Tribolium castaneum: one gene and its partner. The protein of the gene in region 1 binds, or shares a complex with, the protein of each later gene. Links are inferred from orthologs where the notes say so. Each region holds a gene or a part of one and is shown in the gene's direction. Other genes may lie near its edges.

Region 1 (7,723 bases):
TCGTCTAGCAGTTCCTTGATTTCCGAAGTGATCGATTCGGTCTCAGGGTCCCAGATCCTCCGCTTACGCACCCCCATATCGGCGGCTATGTCAATGGAGTCTTCGGCATCACTATAGTGCGACATTGTCCCCAAATCACAGCTGGAAGAAAACTGAGCGTTTTTGTGCGATAATCACACGTGTGAGTGCCCGAACAAAGGTCAATTTCGGTCAACCTTTGATATACCGGAGAAAGTGCGAATTTTCGCAAAAGGGGGCACACAGGGGGCAACTTACCCGGTTTCTGGGGGGCTTACCTCCTTGAACACACGGTTTTCAGTAAACAGACACTGGAAATTTGTTAAATGGTTTGACAAGTGGCAAAATCAGCTGTGTGTGGAGGCTTGGTTACAAAACTGGGGTTTTTGGCCAGGGGTTGGCAACGAATTTGAAATAATTCTACATTTTTTGCGGATTTAAGCCCCCCAAACCCATAAAACGCGGCACTCACTAACGCATTACGTTGCTCACTTGTGGGGGCACACGATCCTGGCCCCGTTAACGCCAAATAACACATTTTTTTACTGTGAGGTTATGTGACCAAAATTGGGGTATTAAGCCAATAAAACGCTCAATTAGGGCTTAAAAAATATATTGACACACGATACAGTACAGTACAAAACGATAAATCAGGTTATAGTCCCAACTCCTTGATCAAATTCCCTGCGATTACAAGTCGCTGTATTTCGCTTGTGCCTTCGTAAATTTCGGTGATTCTGGCGTCCCGATAGTGCCTTTCGGCCGGCATGTCCGAGACGTAGCCCATGCCCCCCAAAATTTGTATACACTGGTGGCTCAAATAAGTCGCAGCTTCGCTGGCCGCCAGCTTGGCCATGGCAGCCTCCTTGGTGAAGTTCTTGTGGTTGTCTTTAAGCCAGGCAGCCCTCCATGTCAAAAGCCGTGCCGCGTCCAAACGCAAGGCCATTTCGGCCAATTTATTTTGAATTGTTTGGAGCTTAAGGAGGGGCTTTCCGAAGGCCATCCGTTTGGAGGCGTATTCGGCAGCCACCTCGAGGGAGGCCTGGGCGATGCCTAGGGCCTGCGAGGCAATGCCGATACGGCCCGCATCCAGTGTCATCATCGCGATCTTGAAACCTTGTCCAGGTTCCCCCAAAAGGTTGGCTTTGGGGACTTGGCAGTCTTCGAAGATGAGGGAGCACGTGGAGGAGCCCCGAATCCCCAACTTGTCCTCCTTTTTGCCCAGTTCGAGCCCCTTTGTTGGCTTGGGGACGATTATCGCCGAAATGCCTGAATAAAAAATTAGAGTGGTTATGCAACCAATTATACAACCCGCACCTTTATGTTTTAAACTTTTGTCTGTTGTGGCCAAAACCACGGCTGCTTCACTCTCAAAGCCGTTAGTGATCCAGGCCTTGGTCCCATTGAGCATCCACTGGTCCCCGTCCAGCCTCGCCGTCGTGGAGGCAGCCCCCGCATCGGACCCGTTCCCCGGCTCGGACAGGGCAAAGCACCCCACCTGTAACACCAAATGAGCCCCTTTGCCTCAACTAACACAACACACCTTATCGCCGTTCGTAAACGGCGCGATAAATTTCTCCTTCTGTTCTTTATTTCCGAAATATTGAATCGGCCCTAAATACAACGAATTATTAACAGACATAATAACACCGGCACTGGCGCACCCTCTGGAAATCTCCTCCATGGCGATGGCGTACGCCACGTAATCTAGGCCCGTGCCCCCGAATTCTTCAGGGACGGCCACGGCCATGAGCCCCAATTCGCCCATTTTGCGGATCTGTTCTTTGGGGTACAGGTGCTCACGGTCGATTTTCGCCGCGATGGGCTTTAGCTCGTTGTCGGCAAAGTCGCGACAGGTCTTTTGCAACATTTGGTGCGTCTCAGAGAGGGCTGCCAGGGAGGCTATGCCCCGCGATTTGACTGCAATCAAGACGGCCGTGGATAAACAAATTTAGACGAATTAGGTAAAAATTACCATTTTGGGCCACAATTCGCGTGAAAACGAACATGATGTACTGTAAACTACACGGACGTGTACTTTGCTCGTTGATTATTAAATTGTTTAGTAAAAATTCCGTAAGTGGTTCCAAGGTTAGGTCAGCTGTCAAAACTGACAGCTGCATTTTTTACGAATTAATGGGCCCCCATTAAAGTCAGAGCCACGTTTTTATTGAGTCCAAGGGGCGCACGGTTAAATGGTCAATCAATAATTTATTTATTTATCAATTAAGGCGGGTTCTTTCGGCTCGTTGTGTTGGTAAGACGGCGTTATGGTGGTACCGCCTGTCATCTGTCACTTTCCTTTACACGGTTGATAGCCGAAGTCACCACGTGCGTTGTGGAAAAAATCAGCCTTTTTGAGTGTCCCAAGCGTTTAAAAACGTACGTAAAAGCGTAAAACGACCAAAAACATGCCTAGTCAAGTGTTTGTGGTGAAATTTTGGCGTATTTTGAGCAATGTTTGTGTTTTTCCAGATGCCGTTAGCAGTCGATTTATTGCACCCTTCTGCCGAAAAACAGAAGAAATCGCATAAGAAGAAGAGGTTGGTGCAACATCCCAATAGTTACTTCATGGACGTAAAATGTCCAGGATGTTACGCCATCTCTACCATCTTCTCCCATGCCCAGTCTGCAGTCCCCTGCAAAGGGTGCTCCACCATCCTGTGCACATCCACCGGGGGCAAAGCCCGACTCACGGAGGGCTGCAGCTTCAGGAGAAAGCAACATTAATGTAGTGTATTCATTTTTTCTAATAAATTTTATTGGGAGTAGCCGCTTTTTCATTCATCCTTCCAGCCACCGAATGGCCTTATTATCTCTTACACGCAAAAAAGGGAAAATGTAGCAAAATTGTGCAATGTTCTAGCGCCCGGAAATTGGCCTAGTGCCAAAAAATCAATAAACACAAGACCAAAAACCAAAAAGTCGTCGCAATCTATTCATTCAACCATGTCATTTGGCCCCAAATCCACAAAAAAAATAACTGCAGGTTCAGACCAGTTGAGACACGTTAGGCCAGTTGACACTTGTCAAAAAACATAACCACACTTATCAATTAATTAACGACTATCCAAGCCGTAGAATGCCCCCAAAGGGCGCAATTAAAGCCAAAACCCCTCAACCAGCCTCAATAAATAAAACAATCAAGTATTAATTATCGTTTTATTCAAAATCGTGGTCAAGCCGGAGCCGGTAAAGTAGATCGCTGTCGCGAGAGCGCACATAACCCCAAAAGTGCCGTAAACAAAGCCGGTTTGTGCGTGAAAATGTCGTTTAAGAAAGGCGTGGACCCCAAGGTGTTCCGCGCCATCCAAAACGTGGACATGCACCAGCTGTCCGAATGCACCGAGGTGGAGATCCGCCCCGTGTTGCCCTGTCTCGTGCGAATGGGGCTCATCTCGCCCCTCGACACGTCGAAAAAATGCACCACCATGAAGGTCGACATTCTCACAATCGTGTCCGGGATGGAACTGGTCAATTCGATCGTTGCCCTTCTTTCCATCGATTTCCATCGACTGGAAACCGAGGTCAAGAAGGAGCAGCAGCTGCGCCAGAAGGGCGTAGCCCTCCAGAACGACTCGATCCTGATCGGCAACTTATCAAACACCAGCATGGCCTTGGAGTACGAACGCAGCGACATGACCCGCCGTTTGAGCATCTTACTCGGGGAACTACTCTACGTCCAGAGCCAAATCCAGGACGAAAACTCGGACACGAGCTACATCAAGCCCTCGGAACTGTTCGACAACGACATTTTCGCCGAGGAATTGTCCGATATTATCTGCATAGCCTTGGCTGAACTCCCCATAACTCTAAACATTTTGACAATCACTGAAACCCTCCTCCACTTGCACAACGGCCCGCCCATCATTTGCCGAATCGTGGCGAACTTCCCCGACTGCTTCCGAGAGGTTTGCACCTACTTGATCCAAACGGGGGAAAAACAGGAAGAAACCAAACTGAGCACAGTCCGAGCCGCCACGATTTCCCTCCTCTGTAAAATGAATCCGAGCCAGGCTTTGACAATCCGAAGCAAGTGCGTCGAATTGTGCCGAATGCCCGCGCTCGCAATCACACTATCTCTGGACGGCGGGGAGGGGGACATGGTGGCGTTCATCTCCGGGCTGTTGCTAGGCAACGACCAAACAATACGCAACTGGATCGCGTTATTTATCCGGACTGGACAGAAAAAGAAGGGGGAGATTTCAAGCACCGCCCTTTTGCAACTAAGGGAGGAGTTGTTACGTCGCTTGCACGTGATTCTCGCCGCTTCTGTCGAAGGCCACCTATTGGACAGTCTCGTGGTTCAAGGCTCCGCCCTCTTGCGCCTCTATTGTGCGCTTCGCGGGATCGCAGCAATCAAGTTTCAGGAGGATGAAGTCACGGCATTGGTGCGTCTGTTGACGTCACACCCAAGCCCCACCCCGGCGGGCGTTCGCTTCGTTTCCATTGGTCTGTGCATGTTGATTGCCTGCCCCTCGCTGATTTCGCTGCAAGAGCACGAGCGACGTAGCATCGAGTGGGTGCAATGGTTGGTGAAGGAGGAGGCGTATTTTGAGTCGGCCAGTGGCGTTACTGCCAGTTTTGGCGAAATGTTACTACTGATGGCTATACATTTTCATAGTAACCAGTTGAGTGCCATCTGTGATTTGGTGTGTGCCACTTTGGGGATGAAAATCCCCATCAGACATAACAACATGACAAGGATGAAGCAAGTCTTCACGCAGGAGATTTTCACGGAACAAGTTGTAACCGCACATGCGGTTAAGGTTCCGGTTACGAACTCGTTAAGTGCGAATATGACCGGGTTTTTACCCATACATTGCATCCATCAGTTGCTTAAATCGCGCGCGTTTGCCAAACACAACGTGAATATAAAAAACTGGATCTATAAGCAGATCTGTACGAGTGTTAGTCCCTTACATCCAGTGTTGCCAATGCTAGTGGAAGTGTACGTTAACAGTGTTATAATGCCAACCTCACGGAACACTGAGACTAATAAGCCGTTGAGTGAGAATGAGATACGGCGCGTGTTTCAAAGTTCGATCTTTGGACAGTATTTCGACCACAAAAAGTCGATTTTTACCATGGATTTTGACCTAAATAGTGAGAATCAGGACGTTGTGGTGGATGGTACAAGTCTCACCCCACAACTCCTCCTCCTCTACTATCTCCTCCTGTACGAGGACTGTCGATTGGTTAACGCCCACATTTTGGCCGCGTTTAACCGCAAAATCAAGTTGTATAGTTCCGAATTTTTATCGGAACTACCAATCAAATACTTGCTACACCACGCCCAAAAAGACCAAAGCTCCTATTCGGGTCTTTTCGGGCCGTTGCTCAAACTCCTAGCTACGCATTTCCCCCACTTGACACTAGTGGAGGATTGGTTGGACGATATGTCCATCAAAACGGAGCATAAGCCAACCCACGTGACGCAAATAAGCGTCATTGAGGCTTTCAATGACTTGGACACTAACCCATCAAAGTGTGCCAAGCTTATGCAAACTTTACTCAAACAGCAAGCCATAGATATATGGCCATTTGCCGAGATTTTCACACAATTCGCCCGCAAGATCCTAAATGACAATGTCCCACGCTACTTACAAGACCTGTACAGAGACGTATGGTTACGCTTTAATACGGTACTTCCCCGCCGATTGTGGGTTCTAACCGTCAAAAACCTAGTCGATGATTTCTCAAACCTGACACGAATCGATGTCGCTGAGGATCCTCTCCAGATCATGCGATGCGATGAGCGTGTTTTTCGCTGTGCCCCTTTATATGCGATTGTTTTGAGGGTGTTGAGAGCAAGTCTCGCGTCGTCTCGCAGCCAACTAATGCAACATTTGCAAGCTAATCCGAGATTGGATCATGCGGGGCAAGTTTTAAATGAGAGTGATAGAGAGGAGATGTGTCGGGCGACCATTGCAGCACAGGAAAGTGCAGCTGTTCAAATGCTACTAGAAACTTGTATTGAGACAGATGAGGATCGTACGATTGGGGGGCAAAAGTGGGCACTTCAGGAAGTTAGGTCGTTGGTTTGTAGTTATCTACACCAGGTTTTTATCGCGGATACGATGTTGGCCAAACTGGTACACTTTCAGGTGAGTGATTGTGTACATCGCACTCGATATGGAATACACAGCGTGTTTCGTCTAAACCCCAAAGTTCTAATAAAGATATTTATCTGAAAGTTGGTACTCGGCCAAAATCCGTTGAGTTCAGTTGAAATGAAAATCTTGAAAATATTTTCAAGATGGTGGCACTTTTGGTTATACCGGAAGTTACTACTAACTTTCTTATTTTAAATGGAAATCTATGTTTTTTATTGCGTTTTTGGATTAGTTGAGTTATTTTAAGGCCGTTTTTATCAGCTTTCCCTATACCTAAGTTTAACCGTTTTCGAGATATTTAAGATTTTTTGAAAATTTTTGGATTTGCACCTGTCACTTAAAAAGTCGGTAACTCTTTTAGTTTTGAAGATTTAGAAAAAATGTTTGGAGAATTAAAAGACAAGGCTTACATCTGTCCTCCGGTGTGTTCAGAATTGGAAAAGAAGTTAACAAACCCAAAAATTTTAAGCTTAAGTTTGGACAACTTCAAGTACCCGTAACTTAATTTTTTCAAATGGGATGTCCTAATTTTTATTTTACTAGATGGAGGAGAATTTTTTTCTGCATCGATCTGTATTAGCATTCCCTATACCTATCTGTGATAATTTTCGATTTATGTTGGTTTTTTTGACATTGTAGAAAGTTTCTTACTAACCACAGCTATTTTTGCTCAAAATTCTGTTGTCCTTAAACCCATAGACCAAGCTCTTTACATCGCGCTCGATATGGAATATATTATTATGTTAAGACCAATAATTTAATTCGCACGTGTGAATTTAAATAATCATATTTATTGTGTTATTACTATATATTTAATATAGTTTTTGACGTTTATTTCAGGGCTATCCAAGCGAGCTGATCGAGGTGATGGTCAAAGGCGTGCCCTCCATGCACATCTGTTTGGATTTTTTGCAAGAATTAATGCAACAGCCAAGTCTCGATAAACAAATTTTTGCGATACAGTTGTTATCACACTTGTGCATACAATACGCGCTGCCCAAAAGTTTAAATTTATGTGTGGCAGCACTGAATCTACTTTACGCCCTACTTGGAAGTACGTTTTTTTTTTGGTGTGAAAATTTAGCAATTTTGTTTTCTTAGGTTTGTCGAGTAGTCAAAGGGTGCGCCTATTTCGCCCGATTTTACCCGCCTTGGTGCGCATAAGTGAAGCTTTCCCGCCATTGGTTGACGATATCGTCAATCTAATGATGCAATTGGCTAAGGTTTGCAAATCACAGGCGTCGCTAGCGTCGCATTTTGACGTCCACTTGGGCAAAGAGTTGGAAGTTTCAGCCGAGGAAAGCAAGGAGTTGTGTGTGTTAGTACAGGAGACGTTTAGTGATATTTTGGATAGGGCTGTCTTCAAATCGAAGATTTATAAGCAGGAATAAAGTTTGAAAAAAAAGTGAATGCGTTTTTATTTATTTGTTAACTTCAAGCACCCATAACTAATTTTTTCAAATGGGATATCTCAATTTTTTTCTACTAGATGGAGGAGATTTTTTTTCTGCATCGATCGGTATTAGCATTCCCTATACCTATCTGTGATAATTTTCGAGTTATGTTGGTTTTTTTGACATTGTAAAAAA
Region 2 (7,743 bases), on another chromosome or scaffold:
ATAATAAAATGGACGTACCTGTATATCGCTTCTACGTTGGCTACCGTTTGTAGCATAAAAAATAATAATAATAATAATGAAACCAAAAAAAAATTTTATTTGCATTAAATTTTGAACAAGCCACTTTCATTCATTGAAATTAAAGCCAAAATTAATACGTGGCAATAAATGATTTGAGTGTTCTATTTTATTTATAGTTACTGAATTTAAAACGTGTCACTCAAATTATGACTTTTGAACACCGCATTTAAAAATATTAAAACGCACGTCTGCTACCGTTTGTAGCAAGACAATGAAAATAAATTAACCGCAAATGAAAAAAAAAAAGAACCTACCTTTGTCTTCTGTTCCGATGCCATCTTCTTCTTAAACGGACCTACTGCAATAGAAGAAACAATGAAATTAGAACAATGTGCTCTTAAATTACTAGTTGAAAATATCACAGATTTGATTTAATTTTCTAAAAATAAATCACTGCAAACTTACCCTTTAATCCGGATTGTTTCCTCCTTAAAGTCCATTCCATTGGCACTAACACACACACACACACACTAAACGCGATCACCGAATTTAAAATTCAAACCGAAAAATTTAGATTTGCTTGAGCACACGTCCGTTCGCGACAACGGCAAGTAACAAACTGAATAAATTGAACGAAACGGCACAATAATTTAAATAAACCGCCTCACCTCGCCTCGCCTCCTGCTTCCCGCTTCCGATCTGACCCGTGCCACCGCTCGCTGTCGACTGAAGCGCTCTCGCCGCCTGCGCCGCACACCTAACCTCGGGACACGTCACGAATGTGACGTCATGTTCAAGTCTAAAATAGTCGTCACCAGAAACATTCACTGGCAGAATCCATCAAATTTAGAGACATTCATACACAGAATTATTCAAAATAGAACAGTATTAATCTAGAAAAATTAATTATGTCAAATGTATTTGCCTGTAAACGTCTAAAATTATAAGTTTCGCATGCAGTTAATGGAAAAATAAAAATGCATGTTTTTATTTAAACAGAAACTGGCAATGTACAATTTTGGTGCGAAAATTAGTGGTATCGCAATGCGTATAGCCACAAATTGTTTGTTTGGGTTGTTTTGTTGAAAATTCGGTAGGTTCGAAAAGTAGGGTTATGTTGTTACCCGATAATGACAAAATTTACACTTTTATCCATTTCTGCCTTTTCAGAGCGTTGTGATAGGATATTTAGGGCAGAAAAATCTACCTTGCGTCAAAAATTTATGTGCTATTGCCAGATAGAGACAAAAGTTCAGAAAGCAGGGTTATGTTCTCTTCTAAAGTGTTAAATTATAACTTTAATGGATTTTGTGTGCTTTTCGGCACTTTTAGAGCGTTATTCATTATTACTGAATATGTTGTGGGCAGACAAATCTACCTTGAGTCAACGACATAAACTTCAGTGAGATTGAAATGTATAAAGGGCAAAAATGAACTTTTCGTGTTAAACATTTTGATAAAAAAGGGCGTTTAATTGTTTATAAAGGGTGTGTTAACGAGTGTTAAGTTTACCAGGTAATAAAACATAATGTACAACAACTTTTCTATAAAAGCATTTTGCAAAATTTTTATTCATTATTTTCACTATTTTTCTCATTTCCTTTGTACAAACGAACCTGTGATATGAAATTTTGGTGTCAAAATTAGTAGTATCGCCACAAGTTGTGTTTTTAAATCTCCAGAAAATTCAGTTTTAAAAGTGAGGTTATGTTATCATTTGGAAATATGAAATCTTTCACTATTATGGATTTTGTGTCTGTTTCTGCTCTTTTAGAACGTTATTAATTATTATTAAATTGAATTGAAAGGCAGATAAATCTACCTTTGAGTCAATGATATAAACTTCAGTGTGATTTATTGAAATGTATATAGGGCACAAATAAACTTTTCGTGTTAAACATTTTGATTAAAAAGGGTATTTAATCGTTTATAAAGGGCATGTTAAGGTGTGTTAAGTTTACCACATAATAAAACATAAAGTACAACAACTTTTCTATAAAAGCATTTTGCAAAACTTTTATTCATTATTTTCACTATTTTCCTCTTTTCATTAGTACAAACGAGCCGGTGAATGAAATTTTGGTGTGAAAATTAGTGGTATTGCCACAAATTGTGTTAATTTTAGGTCTCCAGAAAATTCGGTTTTAAAAGTAGGGTTATGTTATCATTTGGAAATGTTAAATCTTTCATTTTTATGGATTTCGTGTTCGTTTCTGCTCTTTTAGAGCGTTTTTAATTTTGATTGAATATATTATGGGCAGATAAATCTACCTTTGAGTCAACGACTTAAACTTCAGTGTGATTTATTGAAATGTATATAGGACAAAATTGAACTTTTCGTGTTAAACATTTTGATTAAAAAGGGTGTTTAATCGTTTATAAAGGGCGTGTTGACGTGTGCTAAATTTACCACGTAATAAAACATAAAGTACAACAACTTTTCTATAAGAGCATTTTGCAAAATTCTTATTCATTATTTTTACTATTTTCCTCCTTTTCTGTAATAACTCATTCGCTTTTCGGGGGCCATTCTGAATACTGTAATGAATTTTTAAAGATAAAGTTTGCGAAATATGAAAATTTTAAAGAATTTTTAAAAATTCATTAAGATCTCAAGGGGACTTTATCCGAACATGATTTTTTTACAGTCGAAGGCCCTATCGAAGGGCTTAATCCCCTGCAAAAATAAAGAAAATTGCAGGATATAAAGGGGGTGAAAAAAAACAGTTTGCGTTGCTTGAATATGAGAATAAAAAATGCAGAAATTAAATACAGGAGATGTTCTACAAATGTGAGATGCAAGTCAGCGTAACAGCTTATTGATGTTTTTATAATGATTTACAATTATTTTGATAATTTGCCTGGTGTGAACTTGGCTGTAGAAAACGAGAATAGTGGGGACATGGTGCTAGCTCCATGCACGCAGCGATTGTCTGGTCGACTGTAATGTTCTTGGTGCCAGCACCATTTTTTTCTCTCTTATTCTATGTTCCCAACATAGGTTAAACTAACCTAAAAACTATGCTAAAAACACCAAAAAATAAAAGTTTGGATGTTGAACGCGTTTATTGATTTTGTGACATGAATGCCGATGTGGCCCCCACTTTGTAATTTTCTCACGAGTTGATGACCCAACTGGCGTGAAATATTTCACCCGTAAGATTAAAAAAATTCCAGGTTATATTTGTTTTGCCTACTAACAACATTCCAGCGATTTTCCAAAATGCTGAGCGTCCGCGTGAGTGCCTTCAATGAAAACGGTCTCGGAGAGCCCGAGCAAGACGCCAATTCGGCTTTAACCGAGCTTGACAAAGGTTCAAAGCGCGGTATTGAGTGCCTTCTTTAAAAGTGTCTTTTTAGGGCTCCGGTCCGGTAAAGTGGGCGAGCAATGCGAAGCAATTGTTCGTTTTCCAAAGTTATTCGAAAAATATCCTTTCCCCATCCTCATCAATGCGTCATTACTGAAATTAGCGGAAGTTTTTCGCATGGGGTACAACTCTCTACTGTAAATAACTCTATTTAATGGCACTGTTTTTAGTAACAATTTCCTAAGACTGTGCGTGTTGCGTGTGTGCCAACAAAGCGAAAAACATCTAGATAAGATTTCGAGTGTTGATGAGTTCGTTAGAAGGATTTACAGTGTGATTCATAGTAATGACCCTATTGCTCGTGCTGTGACGCTGAGGACGTTTGGGGCCGTGGCTGCCATCATTCCGGAGCGACAGCAAGTGCACCACAGTATTAGAAGCAGTCTAGATTCTCACGATAATGTGGAAGTCCAAGCTGCAATTTACGCCGCTATTCAGTTTGCCGCCCAATCAAAGTAGTAAAAGTTGCTCAGAATTCATTATTTTAACAATAATTTGTAGAACATTCGCCGTAAGCATGTGCAACAAAGTCTCTGACATGATCCAAGGCCAGTCAACGCCTGCCAGCATGAAATTACAATTAATCCCAATTTTACAATACATGCACCATGATACCAACACGGCTGCGATGGTGAGGACACTCTGTATCGATTTACTGCCAAGTTATCCAGCCAAAGACTTCGTTTTGGTCACTCTAAACACACTTACCCAGTTGGCAACGGCGACTCTAGTTGACGTCCCGAGTCAAGTAATTTCATTAATTTGTCTTCCAATATTCTCCAAAACTGTCTTTTAGGTCAATTTACTGTTGCAATATTTACGCAAAGACTTGGGGAGTGAAGTCAAGTCGAGATGTTTGCAATTTTTGTACCAGTTCGCCAAACCGGGGGCTCATTTGTGGCCCCCGGGGGCCACCAACAATATCATAGATTTTACTTTACACACGCATCAAGCCCGGTTATTAACCCTGGCTCTTGGTAAGACGATTTGAGGTCTTGTTTTGCAAACTGATTAATTGATGATTAGGTGTGATTCAAGTCTTGACTGAATCGCCCCGAATGTGTCATGATTATCGCGACAGCAATTCAAAATTGAGAGAATTGTGTATGAAACATTGTTATTCGTCACAGCCTACAGTCGCAGTGCAAGCTATACAAATTTTGACACAACTTTTATGCTACTGGTGAGTTTTCTCATAGGTACGGAGGGCAAAACTAAGGGGCGAAATGATGTTTAAAATCGTTGTCTTAAATTATTTGATGCGGGAATGTTAAGACTTAATTTTTTAGCAAGCTGTGAAACAAATAAAATTTGCCCAAACAAGAGATTTTTTTAATTTGAAATTTGTTCCATATTTATTTCAGTATCGAATTCGCCGTAATTTATTTATTAATAATTATAGAATTATAGAAGTTTTTTGAAGCTAAGGAGATGATAAATCTATAAATAAAAAATAAAATAAGTACAAGGTGTTAATAATACCATATACAGTGTGATTTTTAAAAAACGAGCTGCCCTGAGTATCAGAAAATAAACAAAAAATTAAAACATCCCGAGACAGGTCAATTTTTATTTAACCAGAGACACCTTTTAGTGTTTTATTTGACTCACTTTGACTTTTCAGCTTGATTTTAATTATGTTAATTAGCGTTTTCATACAAATTATAAAACTAATAAATTCAAATGATCACATGGTACAGACAACTCTTCAAAATACCTCAAATAAAGGTATTTTCAACTCTTATTAGAGATTGGAAATGTGCCATTAAATTTTTAGATAATAATGTAATCTTTCTAAAAAGAAAAAACTAAAGACTGACCCCTAAATCCGGATTGTTTCCTTTTTTTCTCCCTTGAAATCCTATCCAGTAGCATACACTAACCACAATCAACACACACTAGCCAACGAATTGTGTAAGAATATGGATAACACGTTACCAGTACAAAATATACTATTTGAGATAACTAATTATTACGAGGTGGAAAACAAAGAAGTTTGTCTGATTCACTGATTTTTGTTACGCCTACGTCACTTTTTTTTTGTTAAAACTTATTTGTTGAGCAAAAATTCCAGAGAAACCATTTTAACGAAATCTTAATAAGTATTTGTAATTACACTATTCTAATACACATTTAAAATAAAGGCAATTTTTCTGTATTTTTTTTTAATTATTTGATTCTTGCTTCAAATTAAATTGTCGTTTTATTGTGCAAAATTTTAAAACTGACTTTTACACCTGTCGCCCCCTAATAGTTTAGTCCTCCGTTACCCAGGAAGAACAAAAAACAGTCGTATTTTTAGCTACAAGGAGAAACTGGAGACTGAAAGAGCGGACGAAGTGATTTCGGCCCTCGAAACTTTAATTTTGCTTTTGACTTTTTCGAACGACAAACACCCAAAACAGCTCAAGCTGGCACTGAAATGTGCTGTTCGACTGTGCGAAGCGCGGAGAGAATATTGCGAGACGTTTGTGGAACTGCTCGGCACTCGCCTCGACAACATACACAGTATGTTATTTCAATTATGGTTCAAGAACAAATCAAATCGATTTTTTACAGACGACTGTACCATCGTCATCTGTGAGACTTTGGGGGCTATTGGGGGCCTCAAACCCGACACTTTACTCTCGCTTCTCGCCAGTATTCTCAACTTATTGCGCGCTTTATCCGAAATCGACCAACCAACGGAGCAACAAACGCGCATCAAAATCATGCTTTGTACGCTGGTTTTCCAAAGCATGTCTGACTACACCTGGAACGAAGAAACCGAAAGTGCGATTTTTTGCGTTATTGAAAATAACAATCTGTGGGCGAATTATTGCATAGCGCGGGCTGCGGTCAGATACGGCCACCACAAAATCGCAAATACGATTTTCAACCAACTGACGGAACAAGTCAGTTCTGAACATTTCCATTTCTGGTTGGTTTGTTTGAAGGAAATGTCGGAAGCCGAGTCGTTTTTACTCACTTCGGACGATAGTTTGGTAAATCGCTTGGAACGGGCGATCATACATTACAATAAAGCCATCGCGGCTTTGAAGGTTCCTGTTTTACCGACTTTTGGTTTGTGATTGTTACGCACTGTTTCAGGCGGCTAGTACCCCCTCACATAATTTACAATTCCAAGCGGAGTATATGCGAATCCGTACAGAGTTTCTCCAGTCTTTGATCCAACTCATTTATACTTGCAACACCCTGTGTATAGTCCCGCCGCCTGCGATTGCCGCTACTATCGTCCAAAACACGCGAGATGAGTATCAAAGACACGGATATATCACGAATCAGTTGAGAAAGTGTGTGAAAGAGTTTAAAAATTGTGGCGACCTCTACTGGAAGCTGTACCAAACTGCGTTCGACGCTGACCCTGCCACCTTAGAAAATATGCAAATGTGTGTTCGTTTGTTTTTTTCTGTACATTTAGTTATTTTTAACGTGTGTTTTTGCAGTTTGCAACAAATGTGTGTGCTTGTGGAGCAAAGCGTGGAAAGTATTTGTGTCAACGGATCAAAAATCCGTGACGATCCGATTGAATTCGGATCGCGTGAAACACGTCTCGAATCGCAACAGTTGACAAAAGCTTGTTGCAATGCTTTAACAGTTGCGCACGCTCTTGATGATGGCTCTTCAATGACTACAATAACGCACCGGGTACTTAAATTCGCTTCGTTTTTGTGTGTTTTATTTAAAATTGTAGCACATTGAGTTGTTGAAGAAAATCTGCGAAGTGTTGTCAAATGCTTCGTTGCCTATTCCACGGTATTTCTTCCAAGTTTTGCAATGTACCAGCGTCAAGTTGGCCATTTCACCCCAACCTCGCGTCATGGGTGAATTCATAAGTGTCCAAGCCAATTCCCAGTTGGCTGTGAAAGTCGAAGGGGTGATTCAACACGGCATGAAACCGGGGCTTTTCCGCAAAATCGAGGAGGTCATAGTCACTGTGACCTCGCAGATACAGAACAATTCCAAAAGCAAGGATTTGGATAAGGTGGGTCTACGGATATCTAGAGATCAGGATACGACATACAAATAAAATCCCCATCCTTGATAGTTCTGTCAATGTCAGTAGAGGGCGCAGTTCCATTACCGTGAATTCGAAAAAAATATTACTCTCTACCCCATATTTTTCAAAACGCTGCGAATGGTTAAAGATACAAAAAAAATGTTAGGAAGAAATTTGTAGAAAATTATATATTTCCATTAAAAAAACACGGGACGGGCGCAAATTTTAAATAATTTGTTTCTTATGAAAATTTTAGTCGTCAATTTTTCTCAGTCTGTTAAGAGCACTAAGCTCAACATTTCTTTTTTTTCCAAGTAATTAGGAATTAGTTGGATTGAAATAAACTTAAATTTT

Evidence for each region. The genes of interacting proteins can lie anywhere in the genome.
Region 2: the proteins of IntS2 (region 1) and defl are in contact, whole or in part, in a cryo-EM structure (PDB 8RC4), measured with the Homo sapiens proteins. The link is inferred for Tribolium castaneum from reciprocal best matches to the Homo sapiens genes INTS2 and INTS7. Residues at the interface, in NP_065799.2 of Homo sapiens: Gln27, Lys28, Val29, Cys48, Arg51, Met52, Cys55, Ala56, Ala58, Asp59, Gln60, Ser61, Trp64, Phe92, His93, Ala186, Glu187, Pro189, Ile194, Val218, Asp220, Ser221, Asn223, Glu224, Ser259, Leu262, Lys263, Arg265, His285, Gly294; in NP_056249.1 of Homo sapiens: Leu38, Gly39, Glu40, Cys42, Glu43, Val46, Arg47, Asn77, Phe78, Leu81, Cys82, Leu84, Lys85, Gln88, Gln89, Asn114, Asp115, Pro116, Val117, Ala120, Ile121, Arg124, Val153, Glu156, Val159, Phe160, Ala163, Leu195, Lys196, Pro199.

The regions. Positions count from the first base shown.
Region 1 is NC_087401.1:16,826,994-16,834,716, forward strand, and holds IntS2 (integrator complex subunit 2), read left to right. Parts: upstream 1-3,168; 5' UTR 3,169-3,284; coding exon 3,285-6,125; intron 6,126-6,974; coding exon 6,975-7,188; intron 7,189-7,235; coding exon 7,236-7,525; 3' UTR 7,526-7,546; downstream 7,547-7,723. Other genes in the region: AdipoR (adiponectin receptor protein), read right to left, coding at 1-125; Arc42 (short-chain specific acyl-CoA dehydrogenase, mitochondrial), read right to left, coding at 674-1,287, 1,336-1,516, 1,562-1,938, 1,994-2,141; RpS27 (small ribosomal subunit protein eS27-like), read left to right, coding at 2,494-2,748. UniProt on the Homo sapiens protein: Component of the integrator complex, a multiprotein complex that terminates RNA polymerase II (Pol II) transcription in the promoter-proximal region of genes.
Region 2 is NC_087397.1:6,153,925-6,161,667, reverse strand, and holds the start of defl (integrator complex subunit 7), read left to right. Parts: upstream 1-2,982; 5' UTR 2,983-3,177; intron 3,178-3,232; 5' UTR 3,233-3,244; coding exon 3,245-3,335; intron 3,336-3,381; coding exon 3,382-3,511; intron 3,512-3,559; coding exon 3,560-3,844; intron 3,845-3,890; coding exon 3,891-4,137; intron 4,138-4,185; coding exon 4,186-4,366; intron 4,367-4,415; coding exon 4,416-4,572; intron 4,573-5,679; coding exon 5,680-5,897; intron 5,898-5,948; coding exon 5,949-6,430; intron 6,431-6,479; coding exon 6,480-6,778; intron 6,779-6,835; coding exon 6,836-7,037; intron 7,038-7,083; coding exon 7,084-7,374; intron 7,375-7,743. UniProt on the Homo sapiens protein: Component of the integrator complex, a multiprotein complex that terminates RNA polymerase II (Pol II) transcription in the promoter-proximal region of genes.